2 linked regions of the Coturnix japonica genome follow. The protein of the gene in region 2 purifies or fractionates together with the protein of the main gene of each other region. This does not show direct contact. Links are inferred from orthologs where the notes say so. Each region holds a gene or a part of one and is shown on either strand. Other genes may lie near its edges.

What was found. The genes of interacting proteins can lie anywhere in the genome.
Region 1: the proteins of SRC (region 2) and cadherin-1 purify together in Homo sapiens (affinity purification with western blotting; 5 studies listed by BioGRID and IntAct, with this or other methods). This does not show direct contact. The link is inferred for Coturnix japonica from reciprocal best matches to the Homo sapiens genes SRC and CDH1.

What each region holds. Positions count from the first base shown.
Region 1 is NC_029526.1:16,823,922-16,831,266, forward strand, and holds the start of cadherin-1, read left to right. Parts: upstream 1-2,756; 5' UTR 2,757-2,827; coding exon 2,828-2,896; intron 2,897-2,971; coding exon 2,972-3,086; intron 3,087-6,592; coding exon 6,593-6,822; intron 6,823-6,932; coding exon 6,933-7,067; intron 7,068-7,153; coding exon 7,154-7,309; intron 7,310-7,345.
Region 2 is NC_029535.1:4,436,831-4,444,175, forward strand, and holds the start of SRC (proto-oncogene tyrosine-protein kinase Src), read left to right. Parts: upstream 1-3,157; 5' UTR 3,158-3,421; intron 3,422-7,345. UniProt on the Homo sapiens protein: Non-receptor protein tyrosine kinase which is activated following engagement of many different classes of cellular receptors including immune response receptors, integrins and other adhesion receptors, receptor protein tyrosine kinases, G protein-coupled receptors as well as cytokine receptors.

The DNA of each region.
Region 1 (7,345 bases), on a different chromosome or scaffold from region 2:
CTTTGCCATCAAGCTGCCCACAGCCACAGCCACAGTGACGGTCAATGTGGAGGATGTGAATGAGGCTCCTGCCTTCGACCCACCGCTGCGGCTGGCCCAAGTGCCAGAGGATGTGCCGCTGGGGCAGCCCCTTGCCTCCTATACAGCACAGGACCCTGACAGAGCCCAGCAGCAGCGCATCAAGTGAGCAGGGCTGGGTTGGGGTCACAGAGGGATCCCTATTGCCATGCCCCGCAGGACCAACCTACTGTGCCCACAGGTATGTGATGGGCAGTGACCCCGCGGGCTGGCTGGCCGTGCACCCTGAGAACGGCCTCATCACAGCACGGGAACAGCTGGACCGTGAGTCCCCGTTCACCAAGAACAGCACCTACATGGCCGTGCTGCTGGCTGTGGATGACGGTGAGTGTGGCGGCTGTGAAAAGGGCCCTTGTTCCCACATTCCCATCAGGCTGCAGTCCCACGTGAGGGACATGTGCTGCTGGTGTCACGGGGGCTGCGTCCCGCTCAGCCCCAGGGCAGGGAGTGGTGCCTGCGTTGCCCACAACGCCTTCTGCCAGCATGGGAGTCCTGCTGCCGAGGGTCCCTTACCAGCCCCACTCCTCCCTGCAGGATTGCCACCCGCCACAGGCACTGGCACGCTGCTCCTCACCCTGCTGGATGTCAATGACCACGGCCCTGAGCCCGAGCCCCGCGACATCGTCATCTGTAACCGCAGCCCTGTGCCCCAGGTGCTGACCATCACCGACCGGGACCTGCCTCCCAACACCGGGCCCTTCCGTGCAGAGCTGAGCCACGGCTCTGGGGACAGCTGGGCGGTGGAGGTTGGCAGTGGAGGTAACGTGGGGACTCGAGGTGGTGCTGCACTTGGTCCCACGTGAGCCAACATGGTGAAGTCAGGCTTGTCACCTACCCCGCACAGGTGACACCGTTGCCTTGTGGCTGACGGAGCCCCTGGAGCAGAACCTGTACAATGTCTACCTGCGGCTCTTCGACCGCCAGGGCAAGGACCAGGTCACTGTCATCAGAGCACAAGTGTGTGACTGCCAGGGCAGGGTGGAGAGCTGTGCTCAGAAGCCACGGGTGGATACCGGTGTGCCCATCGTGCTCGCCGTGCTGGGCGCTGTGCTGGCCCTGCTGCGTGAGTGCCCAACAGCTCGGAGTGTGGGGGTGCTGCAGGGATGTGGCGTGGGGATGAACCACTGATGCAGCTCCTCTCCTGCAGTTGTGCTGCTGCTGCTGCTTCTCCTGGTGAGGAGGAGGAAGGTGGTGAAGGAGCCGCTGTTGCTGCCTGAGGATGACACGAGGGACAACATCTTCTACTATGGGGAGGAAGGTGGGGGTGAGGAGGACCAGGTGAGGCCCAGGCCTGGGGATGGGGGGTAAAGCAGTGCTCCCTGTGTGTCAGCCTCATCCTGCTCCATCCCCACGCAGGACTCACGAACCTGATGCCAGCTGCACCGCGGCCTGGACGCCCGCCCTGAGGTGATCCGCAATGACGTGGCCCCCACCGCTGATGGCCGCCCCCCAGTACCGCCCCGGCCGGCCAACCCCGATGAGATCGGAAACTTCATCGATGAGGTGAGCCCGACCGTTCTGCCGCCGCACTGCTGGGCTGCCCACAGCGTCCCCATCCCATAGGGCTGAGCGCGGGGGGAGCAGCGGGTGAGCCCTTCCTCTGCCCTCCTACAGAACCTGAAGGCGGCTGACACGGACCCACGGCCCCCCCCTACGACTCCGCTGCTGGTGTTCGACTACGAGGCGGAGGTCGGAGCCACCTCGCTAGCTCCCTCAATCTCCTCCGCCTCCGACCAGGACCAGGACTACGACTACCTCAACGAGTGGGGCAACCGCTTCAAGAAGCTGGCGGAGCTCCTATGGCGGTGGGGAGACGATGACTAGCCCCCAACCAGCGCTGCTGCTGCCCAAAGCCTTACCCTGCCCGTGCCTTGGGGCCGCGCTGCCCTCTCCTGCACTCCCTGTGCTGTTTGAAGCAGCCTTGGCTTCCTCCTGTGTGTTTCAACTTTTTTTTTTTAAGCAACTATGAATTTGATGTAGTGGGGTGGTATCAGGGTGGTACCGTTGTGGTACCGGGGTGGTATCAGGGTGGTACTGTTGTGGTACCAGGATGGTACCAGCGGGCTGAGCTGGGGCTGTAGAAGTTTTAGGGAAGTTTTAATAAAGGATGTGGTTTTCCTTTTTCCTTTTTTAAGACCCTTCTCTGTCTCGCTGTGATTCTGTGCACCCCAAGGGCTCAGAGCAGACCCCCCTCACCCGGGGCTGGCTCAGCCCCATCCCCTGTGTGCAGCGATGGGGAGTGCAGGGAGCAGCGCTGCCCATCCCCAGGGCTCTGCCCGCTTGGCGCTCAGCAATAAGTGCATTAAACAACTTAACTGCGTTAACCACGCCGGCTGAGCACGGCGCCTAAGGGGGAAATGGAGCGCTGCTGCTGCCGTGCCACGGCCAGGGCTCGGCTTCTGTCCCAGCTCGGTACGAGCAGCCCCAGTGTCTGTGTGCAGACTCTGCCCCGCTGCAGCCGCGGGGGCGGCGGTAGCACTGAGTGTCGCTGCTCACCCCGGCCCCAGCGCAGCGCCGCAGTTCGCAGAAGGGACCGACCCCGCCGCCCCCTCGTCCCCCCGTGGGCCTCGCGCCCGTGGACGGCGCCGTGGGACGGGGCGGGCGGGACGGGGCGGCCCCGGTGAGGCGGAGCGGGGCGGGGAGGGGCCCGGCGGGGCCAACACCTGCGGGCGGGGCGCTCCCACCTGCGCTTGGCGGAGGCAGCGCTCGGCAGCTCCGTCCGCGGCGGTACCGGCCCGGTCCCTGAGCCATGGGCCGGCGGTGGGGTTCCCCCGGCCCGCAGCGCTTCCCCGTGTTGGTGCTGCTGCTGCTGCTCCAGGTGCGGGGCTGCCGGGCGGGACGGAGGGGACGGAACGGGACGGAAGGGGTCGGGGCTGACACCTCTCTCGGGCAGGTGTGCGGCCGGCGGTGCGACGAGGCAGCCCCCTGCCAGCCCGGCTTTGCTGCAGACACCTTCACCTTCAGCGTGCCCCGGGACAGCGTGGCGGCGGGCAGGGAGCTGGGACGAGGTAGGAGCACGGGGGTGGCTGGGGGGACAGAGCTGTGGTCGTGGGGGTGGGTTGGGTGTGCGCCACCAGAGGTGATGAGAGACACGGGAACAGGCTCAGCGTGGTACCGAAGGTGGCTGGTACCAAGGACGAAGGTGTTCCTGTTGGGACGGGTTCAGTGCGTGGCAAAGTGGCATAGAAATATGGTTGGATGGGGGGCTGGGTGCGTGGCACCGAGGGTGGCCATGGGGAACAAAGCCATGGCTAAGTGCCCGTGTGCCCTGCGTGCTGTCAGGGCCGGCTGCACTATGTCCAGTTCAGTGCTGGTGGCCATGGGCACACGGAGCCGTGCCTACGTGTCCCAGCTCCACGAGCAGCCCGGTGGTGCAGGTGCCGGGGCAAACAGGGGCAGTGGGCGCCTCTCCCAGCAGCACCGAGGCGGGCGGCGCTGACTCAGGCAGAGCTTGTTGGGGCCGGCAGGCTGGGTGTGGGGCATGGAGCCCGGCCCTGAGCCTGTGCTGAGCCCACATCCCAGCACCCAGCACACATCAGCACCCAGCTCACAACAGCACCAAGCCCACATCCAAGTGCCGAGCGCCCGTCCTGGTGCAGAGCCGTGCGTGGGTGCGGGTGGTGGTTCTTAGGAAGGGTGGCTCAGGAGTTCCAGTCTGAGTTTCGCCCACGCTGGGGAGTATCGGGGCTGGGAGCTGAACCCTGCACTGTACCAACGCATTCCATGTTTGTGAACTTTCTGTTAATCATTTACCCGGGCTGTGCAGCGCCAGCAGGCTGTGCCCATTGGGGCAGTGACTGACATCAGGGTGACGGGCAGCTGTGTGCCAGGCAGCACTAACCCAGCACACAGCGATGGCTCCCAGCTGGAAATCCCCGCTGCCGAGCACCAGCACTTCCCGTCTGGGGCTGGGGACAGGGGGGGTGTGTGGGAGTTGGGCGTCCTGTCTGGGTCTGCCCGCGCGTGCCAGCGCTGCTGCCACAAAGCCTGACCACAGAGCATCCTGCCGTGCCCTCCGTGCCGTGCAGCCTTTCAAAAGCCCCATCTGTGGCTCAGCACGAGCAGCGTGATGAGCTTCCCTGTAATTACCCGATGAGCCGAGCGCTGTGTTTGCAGTCAGACAGGTCTGGATTGGCCCCGCACAGCGCTCGGGTGGTGAACATCAGTGGGAGCTCCAGGGGCTGGTGGGTGCAGCTCTGGGCTCCCCAACGGCGCTGCAGCTGCCTGCCTGATGAAAGGGCTTGGTGGAGGAAGGAGCAATTTCCTCCATGTTAATGCGGGCTGTAAAAGCTGCACGGCACGATGCTTTCTGCTGGGTGCTGGGGCTGCTGCTGCCCCACACCCCAAGGGAAGGACAGACAGCACCTGCCCCGCATCCCTGGGGCTCAGCTCAGCCTCACTTACTGAGCAAAGGGTCCTAAGGGAGGGGATGGGATGGTGGATCCCAGGCAGGAGCTCTGAGGGAGCCCTCGGCTGTGTGGGTATGGCACCTTATGGGAGGAACACGGGTGTGCAGCCAGGTGTGACGCTTCCCAGTTGCGTAGGTCCCGGATCAGCCCCAAATGGGAGAAAACCGAGAGTCTGAAGTCACGGTGAAACTCGGTGATGTCAGGCCCTGGCAGGACGTGTGGCTCACTGCGCTCTTGCAGCACTTTCACCCTGGCTGCTCATGGCTGACGTGTGCCTCTCCCCGCCACCAGCTTCCGCCCCGGCACAGCCGCACTTGCACAACCTGCGTGGGGATGGGGAAGAACATTGGGATGGTGGCACTTGGCTGCGCCTGTGACTCACCCTGTGCCCAGCCCCAGTGAGACACTTTCCTGTGTCGCAGCAGAATGGGGGTAGCTTGGTGTCCCCAGGTCCCAGCCCAGTGTGGAGGGCTCACCTCCCCACCCCAGCTTTGAGCCGGTAATTCGCTGGTTTGGGCCCCACGGCCAAACGCATTTGAAGGTCCAGGAAATCAGTGGCACTCAGTTGCCTCCCGCAGTGCAGGAGCCCCTGAGCTCGACCCCTGCCCCACGCCTTGCCGAGGCCCCATTGGCTCAGTGCCCCGGGGAGAATGGAGCTGGGAGGGGCTGGCTTTCAAGTGTGGAGCTGGAAAAACAGGTTGTGCACGGCCGGGCGCAGAGGGGGAGATGGGGAGAGGGGGAGAGGGGGAGCTTAGCAGCGGTGCGGGGCCGGGTGCTGTGCACGGTGCGCTCCGCCGGCCAAGTGCCAGGAGCCGGGTACCCGCAGGGATGGGGCACCTCCCCACTGCGAGCACACGGTGCGGGAGCGCCCGGCGTGCCCCAGCACAGCCCTGCACAGCCGGTATCACCGGCTGGCCCGCCTGGGTTGGCATCGCCCCGCAGGGAGCGCGGCACGGCGGTGGGCGAGCAGCCCCCGGCCCAGCTCTGCCATTACCTCCCCCTCGATGTTGTCTCTGAATTCCTGGGCTGCCTGCAGGCTGATGTAACACGGGACGCTGGGACAGGTCCCGGCAGTGACGGCCGCCCCTGGGGAGCCCAGCTCCGTGCTTCCCAGCCCGGGCACATTGCTGGGCCATGGCGGTACCCCGCGTGCTGTACGGCCATGTGGGAGCCAAGGCTGTGCGGGTCAGGGGGACCCCGGCTGAGTGCTGCCGGCTCAAACAAAACATCCCCAGACAAAGGAGCGTTTGTTCTGGCAGCTCCAGCCATGCGGCCCAGCCTCATGTGATGCTGCTGCTCGCTGCTGAGCTGCGCGGTCCCCCCCAGGCTGTCCTCAGCCCTGGTATGCTGGTCCCTGCTGTGAGCACTGCCAGACCTGCATGGCCTGTGCTGGAGCTCACACTGTGACCCAGCAGGGTGACTCCGGGGTGTCATCTGTCCCAAAAGAACCCCAAGCAGCAGAGGGGATGGAGCTCTGTATGGATACCTGGGCAGCAGGGGTGCCCCAGCTGCTGTCTCACGCCCTTGGGTGCACCTTCCCCACTGCACAGACTCATATCCCAGTTGGCTGCTGGGGTGGCCACGTGCCAGCGGATCTGAGCCAGACACAGCCCTTGTTTTGATTTGAAAAGCAGCCGGAGCAGCAGCACAGCACCCTCAGCCCACAGCCACGGGCAGGGCAGCAGTGGTGTGCCACACGTTGTGCCATGGAGGCATGTTCTGTATGGATGCACCATGCCCACATGGCAAAGATGGAGAACACTGAGGTTGGGTATTAGGAGGAATTTCTTTGGAAGAGTGGCAGTGTGTTGGTATGGGCTGCACAGGGGGTGGTGGAGTCAGCGTCCATGGGGGAGTTCAAGGACTGTGGGGATGTGGCACCAAGGGATGCGGTTATGGGCATGGTGGGGTGGGTGGGGGATGTCTGCAGTGTTTCCCAGCCTGGATGGTTCTGTGATGGTACAGTGGATCACGCACAGGCTGCATTGCACACACTGCAGTGCACAGGGGTGCTCTGTGCCTGGGCTCTCTTGTGCATGCAGTGGTGCATGGGGATGCTCTGTGCATGGTGGGGTGACCCTGCCCACGCTTTCCCCTGCCCGCAGTGAGCTTTGCAGCCTGCAGCGGGCGGCCGTGGGCCGTGTATGTCCCGTCTGACACGCGCTTCAAGGTGAACATGGAAGGCGTCGTCTCAACAAAACGGCCACTGACGCTCCATGGGAGGGAGATCAGCTTCATCATCTACGCACGGGATGCCACGGGCAAGAGGCACTCAGCACGGGTGACTGTGGGCAGGCACAGGCACCGCCGCCACTACCACCACCAACACCTGCAGGTGAAGTCCCCATGGTCATTGCAGCCCAACTGTTTCGGGCCAAGAGCAGCAGGTGCCTCTGGGCTGCTCTGTGCTGCCACAGGCACCAGGATGAGCTGCTGTTCCTGCAGGACATGACACCGTCTGTGCTGACCTTCCCCGAGCATGACTCCGGCTTCCTCCGGAGGCAGAAGAGGGACTGGGTCATCCCCCCCATCAGCTGCCTGGAGAACCACCGGGGCCCCTACCCCATGAGGCTGGTGCAGGTACGGGGCCGAGGGCTGAGCGTGGTGTCACTGGGACGGGCACCAGCCCCTGGGTGTCCCCTCTCAGCACCCTGCCTCGCCGCCAGATCAAATCCAACAAGGACAAGGAGTCCAAGGTGTACTACAGCATCACGGGGCAGGGCGCGGACAGCCCGCCCGTGGGCATCTTCATCATCGAGCGTGAGACGGGGTGGCTGGAGGTGACGGAGCAGCTGGACCGGGAGAAGATCGATCGCTACACCGTGAGTGGGGGCCGTGGGGCGGGCGGGGCCGTGCGG
Region 2 (7,345 bases):
GAGTGCTGGCGTTTGGATCCTGGCTGCTTGTTTGGTGATGAGGTTGGCTGCCAGGTTTGGTGCTCTGAAAGGATCTGACCCTCCTCATCCTCAGACCAGAAGGGATGATTTGGCTGGGGCCGTCCCACAAGAGATACGGAAGCAAACCAGTGTCGGCTTTGGTGTGTCTGAAACTGCTGCTGACTGCAGGGCAAAGGTCCTGCTCTCCTCCAGTACCTGTAGCTTGTGGCTTTGAGCAGTTCTTCTAAGTTTATGGAGTGGTTTTGTGGCTTTTGTTAAGTGGATCAGAGCAGTCGCTGGTCAAAACGTCCCTTGTTTGGGCTGGCAATTACAGGGTGATGATCCTGTTGGTTTCACATCTCTTCCTTTAAATTCAGCTGCTTTTCCCATCTTTCATTCTTGGTCTCCCAACTTCACCGCCCACCCCGGTCTGTCACCACACATCAGTGCTGTGCAGTCCCCACCTCTGGTGATGTTCACTTCCTTCCCCTCAGCTTGTGGGGTTTCACTCGGAGCCTGAAGGCCCTTGTGTGGCTCTGGAGCTTTCTGTACCCTGTGTGAACAGCAGCTGGCTGCAGCCAAAGGCCCTCAGACTGCAGCTGAAGCAGAGCCCAGTTGATTCCTGCACAGCCTGGGTCCAACCCACCTGCCAAACACAGAACCATGCTGCTGTGTGAGAGCCTCCAGGCCGGAGAGAAGGATCCCAGCATTAGTCCCCCCGCTTGGCAAACCTAAACCAGCCCTAAGCTCATAACCATGGGTTCCTGATGCTGGCCATGCTAATTGCTTGCTGTCACACCCACACTCTTTGCATGTCTGCCAAGCTCAGTGATTGTAAAATGATAGAATTCCTGAGCTGGAGGGTCCCTGCGAGGACCACTGAGTCCAGCTCCTGGCTGCACGCTTCAATGGCTCCAGGTGGGGATGGCAAAAAGCTGCTTGAGTTCCTGAAAAGATCAGAGCAAAGGCTCTGCTGCATCTGTCTGCGACTCAAACACCACCACTGTGTTATTCATAGTAATAATTCCTACAAATATAGTTGGAATTTGCAGCGAGCAAAGCGCAGCTCACCTCAGGAACAGAATCTGTGGAACAAGACTTAATGCACGCTCGCCAAAGGGATGCTTAAAAATAAAGCTGGCCAGAGATGAATGGCTGTTTTGTTATAAATCCACAGCTGGGCTGAGGAGGTCAGGACCGACCGAGCATTGGACCTCAAAGGGCCCCTCTCACTTTGCAGAGAGATTTTAGGGGCCCCACGGAGCGGTTGGATGGGGCTCATAAACAGGTCTGAATGGTTTGTCCAGAGAAGTCATGGGTGCCCATTGCATGGACATGGCCAAGGCTGGGCTGGCTGAGCCCTGGGCAGCCTGATCCAGTGGGGGCAGCCAGCCCAGGGCAGGAGTTGGAGCTCAACGATCTTTATTTCCCTTCCAAACCAACCACTTTAAGTTTCATGGGGCACTGGGGGCTCCCCAGCACTACACAGCTGTGGGGCTGAGCCTCAGGGCTCTGTGGGGAGAAACGCAGCAGCACCGGTGTCACCAGGCATTGCAACACACCGTCTGTGTGCAGCATGCCTGAAGGGGGAAGCCATGGGCAGCTGTTCTGATTTTTCCTGATGAAATTGCTTGAAGGTCAACAAAAAAGAGCACAAAAGTAGCTGTGCATTTGTAACGAGAAATCGAGATGTGCCCACATGGGTGAGCCAGGAGAAGTACTCAGTGAGAGTGACTTGGAATTGGAAAGCACCTGCCTTTCACTTCTAGTTTCAGCCTCTGCATCCCTCTCTGCCCTGCCCCCCCACCGTGTGTTTTTGGTGCTACTGAAAGGTGAAGAGAAAGAAGAAAGAGGTTTCAGGGAAGGGAGTGGAATGCCTCACAAAGAGCATGGGTGGGATGGTGAGAAGAGCAGGGCTGGGAGTGGGGCAGGAGGAGAGGGCAGCTGGAGGGCTGCAGGTGAACGCGCCTCGGGCACAGAGCTGAGCCGTGAGCCGGGAGGGCCCCTGCCAGGGTGCTGCGAGGGCACGTTGCTGAGCCAGAGCCCCAAAGAGGAGAGGCTGGATGCCAGGAGTGTCTGGTGGCCATTTTCAATGTGGGTCTGGGCTCAGCCCGTGCAGCAGCACCTCGGGGCTGGGGCCGAGCCCGGTGCCCGGGGCTGTGCTGCCTGCAGGAGGCTGCGGGGCTGTGGGGCTGGGGCAGCCGCTGTGGGTGCAGCATCCATCCATGCCCTGCTATGCCCTGTAGAATTAACAACACCGAAAGGACTTTCCACGGACACCAGGCTGCAGTCTGGGGCCGCAGCCTCCAATTCATGCAGGGAGCGATGATCAGGCTGCTCCTGGCAGGAAGGCCCCCCCGTGCGATGCGCTGGCCGGTGGGGACGGCTCGGTGTGTGCATGACTCCCGGTGACTCATGGGTTTGTTGGCCCTCGGCAGTGTCACGGGAAATATTTTTTTAATAACTCAAATGAGCCGGGGGAGGGGTGCGCACTGCAAACAAACTCAGTCACCCTCCGCACTGATTCTGAAGCGCTGGAGTTTCCAGAAGCCCCCGCTCTGGTCGCTGTGAGGGGCAGCACGAGGGGTGGGCACGACGTCCACGCTCGTGGCTCCACGGGGAGGCTCACGGCACGCTCTTCTTTCCCTGTTTATTCCCCTGCGCTGAAGTTTTGCCTCCTCCCCGAGATCAGGGGGATGGGGACGAGGATGCAGGAGGGCGCAGAATCCATCACAAAGCGGCTGTTCGCTGCGTGCCCCGGTCGCTATAATAAAAGCGAACCGCAAAGCAGCCGGGTTGTAACCTCAGTGCAAATCACCGCTCTCCTCTCGCCGATCCCGGGCGGGCAGCTCGGAGCCGAGCTCAGAACCGCGCCGCGCTCCCACGCGTGGCCCCGCCGCGACCGGGCGGCTCCGGGACGGGGTGCGTCGGTAGAGCCGCGGGCGGGGGCGGCTCCGGTCGCTGCTCCGCACCCCGCCGAGCCCGGCAGCCCGGAGGCTTCTTCCTTAAAAGAAAAAAAAAAAAAACCCGAGGGGAGGGGCTCGGCGATTTTTCTTTTCTTTTTTTTTTTTTTTTTCCTATAAGCCGTTTCCGGTTTACTGCTGCCATATTCCTAGTTTTTTTTCCCTCCCTGTGGGCTGTTCCCCCCTTACACACACACACACACACACACACACACACACACCCCGTACAAGGGGTGATCGGGGGCGGGGAAGCGGCGCTCCGGATCCGCGGTGCTGCGCGATGCTGCCGGCGGCGCAGCCCTGAGCGTCCGGCACGGCCCGGCCCGCGGTGCGGGCACCCAGAGCGGCGGCGGCGGCTGCGGGGGGCGGCGGCCGCGCCCCCGGCACGGAGACAAAGCCGCGGCCGAGCCCTGGAGGGGAGCGGCGGGGTCCGGCCTCGCGGGGCGCACACGCGGGAGGTGAGCGGGGGCTGCGCGGGGTCCGGCGGCGGGGATGGTCCCCGCGGGGTCCGGCTGCGGGGCCGGCGGGAGATGCTCGCCGTGCGGTGGAGGATGCCCGGGTGGCAGCGGGGCGGCTCCGTAATGCCCGCGGTAACGGCGGGGCGGCTCCGGGTTGCGTGGGGCGGCCGTGGGTCCGGCGGAGAGTGCGCGGGGTCCCGGGGCCGGCTGCGGGGCTGCCGGGGGATGGGGACGGGCCCGCCGGGGGAGCGGAGGGGGGAGCTGCGGGGTCCGGCCCCGCCTGCCCGCACTCCCCTTTGTTGTGATCGGGGGCTGCGGGAAACACTGGGAGAGCAGAGCAGGGAGAGCCGGGCTGTGTGCAGGCCGGGGCATGAAATATTCATCGCCCCCCTGCTTTGATGTCTCCTGCTCCGTTTCCCTCTCGATATTCGCTCGTCGGTGATTCGGGGCTCGTGTCCGCGCTCCGCCGGGCGTTCGCTCTGCCCTCGCCCGGGGAGGCTGCAGAGCCCCGCGCTGCCCGGGGAAGGGCTGTACCCGGCCGGCAGGTTCTCCCGGAGCAGCCCGGCTGCTGTGCGTGTCTCCGCCGCGAGGAAGCACCGTGGGACTTGTCTGAACCACGCCGGGGCCTGGGTGGACTTTCCCCTGCTGACCGTGACCCCATGCAGTGCGCTCGGTCCCCGGCTCAGCCCCACGGCAGTTTGGTTTCCTCTTGACCGTCCCTTCTCTCTGCTGCCCGGGAGCTCTGAGGGTACAGGGAGCAGCTCCCGTGGGTGATGTTCCCCCACTCAGTGGTGTTTGGAGCCCGTAGGGTGCTCAGTGCCTGAGTGCTGGGAATGGGACAGCACTGATCCAACAGCATCGGATGTAAACGGAGCTGTGGGAATGTGGCAACAAAAGACTCAGTTTGGTGTTTTTCCTCCTTCCGTGCTGGTGCTCACCCCTGTCCCCAGGGATGTGATGGGGCATGTGGTGGGATGCCGGTGACCTTGTGCTTGGGAGCAGTGTGATGCTGTTGTTCCCCTGCACTCTTCTGCAGGATGATCCCCTGCTGCTGCTGCTTGTTTGTGCTGCTTCGTGCTGGCTCAATGGTTGGCCCATGGACAAACCTCTGCTGCTCAGTGTCTGAGATGAGGCTCCCTGGGGAGCACTGTGCCACTGTGAGCCTGTCTGTGATCCCACTGCACCTCTCCTTAGCAGGCTGTGGGCTGCACCCATTCCCAAGCTTTGACCTTATCTTCTTAGCTTTGGATCTTATCTGAGCACCTCGTGCTCAGGAGCTTCCCCAAAATACAGCCCGGTGATTTTGGAGCTGGGGTTGCTTATGGGCCATCACAGCAGAGGGATGTGCAGTGCTCGCTGTTAAGATTGTCAGTGGCCTTGCAGTGCTCCCTGTGTGATGGAGATGCCCTACAGATACCTCTGCTTTTGAATGACATTGTCCTGGAGTGACTCAAGATCACCCAGGTGGGTCTGTCTGTCCCAGCACAGCGAGGGAAGGGGCCGTAATTTGCAGAGTCTGATGTGTGAAGGCTCTGCTGCATACACAAGGAACAAACTGGTGGCACAGAGGGGACATGGGCTCCGGGCTGGCTCACAATGACATGTTTTAATGACCAGTGAGCACGTGCCACGTCTGGATGGAGAAGGGGTTGCAGCAAGCCCTGGGCTGGAGCACTCAGTCCACGTGCCTAAGGGGAAGCACAGCCGTGCATCACTGCTGCCCCGCACCACCCCAGGCATGGCAGGGGAAGCACCAAGGGCTATCTGCAGCACTATTGCTTCCTGTACCATCCGTCCTGCAGCACGGTTTCTAACTTGGCCCTTTATCTCTGGGAACCATTTCCCAGCTGACCTCACTTCCTCAGAGCTTCTGAGCTCAAAGCCCTCTCGGAAGTGTGGATGCAGGGTGAGCAGTGTGGGTCAGCTCCCTGGAGTGTGATGCTGTGTGATAGTCTGCTCTGCAGTCTGCTTGGCCAGGGGAAAAAGGAGCTGGTTGGTGTGGGCCATATGCTCAGTGCAGCCCTGCTCTGGTGCTGTGACCTTGGTGTGAGGGAAGTGGCACTGCTTTGCACATGCCTCTGCACATGCACAGGCTGAAAAGAAAGCCTTGAAACAGATTTCATGTGGTTTGAACGTGGGCCAGGAACCAGGACCTGTAAATCTGCGTCTTGCTCTGACTTCCCTCCAGGCTACGGATCTCCTCACTGCCCTCCTGGGCACAGAGCTGGGAATGCTTGGGATGCACTGGGAGCTGCCGGGGGGGGCAAAGCAGTGCTGGAGATGTGGAGGGGATGAAAGCAATAGTGGGGATACAGGGAGGAGAAGCTCTGGGGAAGCTGGGGTCTGGCTGGTGGCTTTGCTTCAGACCTTATGGGGGGCTGCTCCCAGCCCCAGGATGGCTGTGCTGTGCAGAGGTGTGGAGGAGCTGGAATACCCACAGTGTAACGTGAGGGGTCCTGTCTTGAGGTCTGCGTTGGTGAAGGGTTTGGAGAGGAAAATGGGGAACTGCAGCACCCGGAGATAACACAGTCTCACCCCTCAGCCTTTCTCCATTCCAAAGCCCAGTGTCATTGGGCACAGTGGGCTCACAGCACTGGGCTGTGCCCGCTGCCACACGCCATCCTTGCACACAGGGTCCCCACTCCCACACTGTGCCTGGTCCTGGCTGCAGTTTCCCAGTCCCAAATGGCACCGTGGTGCTGCAGCACCTCGTGGGTCTGGATGTTCCCAGGGCGGAACCGTGAGCTGGAGAACTTCTGCAATATGGAAAAAAAGCACAGTGGCAGCAGCTCTTGGAGTCCCTCCCTGTTCAGCTGGGCTCTTTCCTTCCCCTGGCAGCAGCCACTGCAAGATAAGGGAGCACTGCAGCCCTGGGGAGCTGCACTGCCACCCCGGCGTGGGGTTGTGTCCTCATGGGTGGGAATGCTGAGCTGCTGTCTGTGGGATGGGGTGAGTGCAGGCTGTGCTGTGCTGGGGGTGGATGGGATGGGGATGGCCCGAATCCCACTGGTGGTGGCCAGCACATGGGGCAGGGTGGAGGGCTGCATTGGAAGCTCACAGGGTGGACAGGCTCAGAGCACTGGGACCAGGTGTGGGGCCATCGCTGGGAGCTGGAGGGTCAGTGTATCTGCAGCTCATCCTGTGTCAGTGACTCCTATTACCCAGGTGGGTTCTGGGCACCTGAGTGAGCAGCGCAGGGCTGGGCTGTGTGCACAGCCTGCTTCTCACCTCCAGGAACGGCGGGGCTGAAAGCCACCAGCTCAGCGTTTTCCTTTGTTTTGCATCTGCTGGGGCTGTTCGTAGCGAGCAGAGCAGTGTGAGCTGCACCTCGGCAGGCTCCGAGCATCCAGCACAGCCTGCATCAGTCAGGGCACAGCCGGGGCATCCAGCGCGGCTCTATGGGCACGGGGACACGGCGGGGCTCTGTGTGATCTCAGCTCGCCCCTCCAGACCCCTCATTTCGCTGAGCTTCTGCTGTATCCCGAGCTTTGTTTTGGTGACAAATAGCGCTGAAGGCCGCAGCGGCTGCGGGACCGGCTGAGCGCAGAGCTGTGCCTGCGGGCCCCCATCCAGCGGTGGGGCAGGGAGGGAGCCGATTCCTGGCCCCGCTCTGAACGCAGCTGTTGCAGCTCTGGGTGTGTGTTGCAGGGCTCTGTGCTGCACGGATCCTGCGGGGCCCCCTGGGGGTCCGTGCCCCGGGGCTGCAGCTGGGAAAGCCGGGCAGCTCCCGGCCGGACTGGCTGGGCTGGTTCTGAGTGGGGAAATGTTTCAGCAGTGACGCCAGCACGGCCGGGGTGGCTGCGACTTGCTCATATCTGGAGCTTTTCTGTCTGCCACGTGTTCCTCGCCCCTTCCTGCGGCTGCCCGTGGAGCTGCTATCCTCCTTATCCTCCTTCCTGGCTGTGAAATCGCCGCATGGGTGGG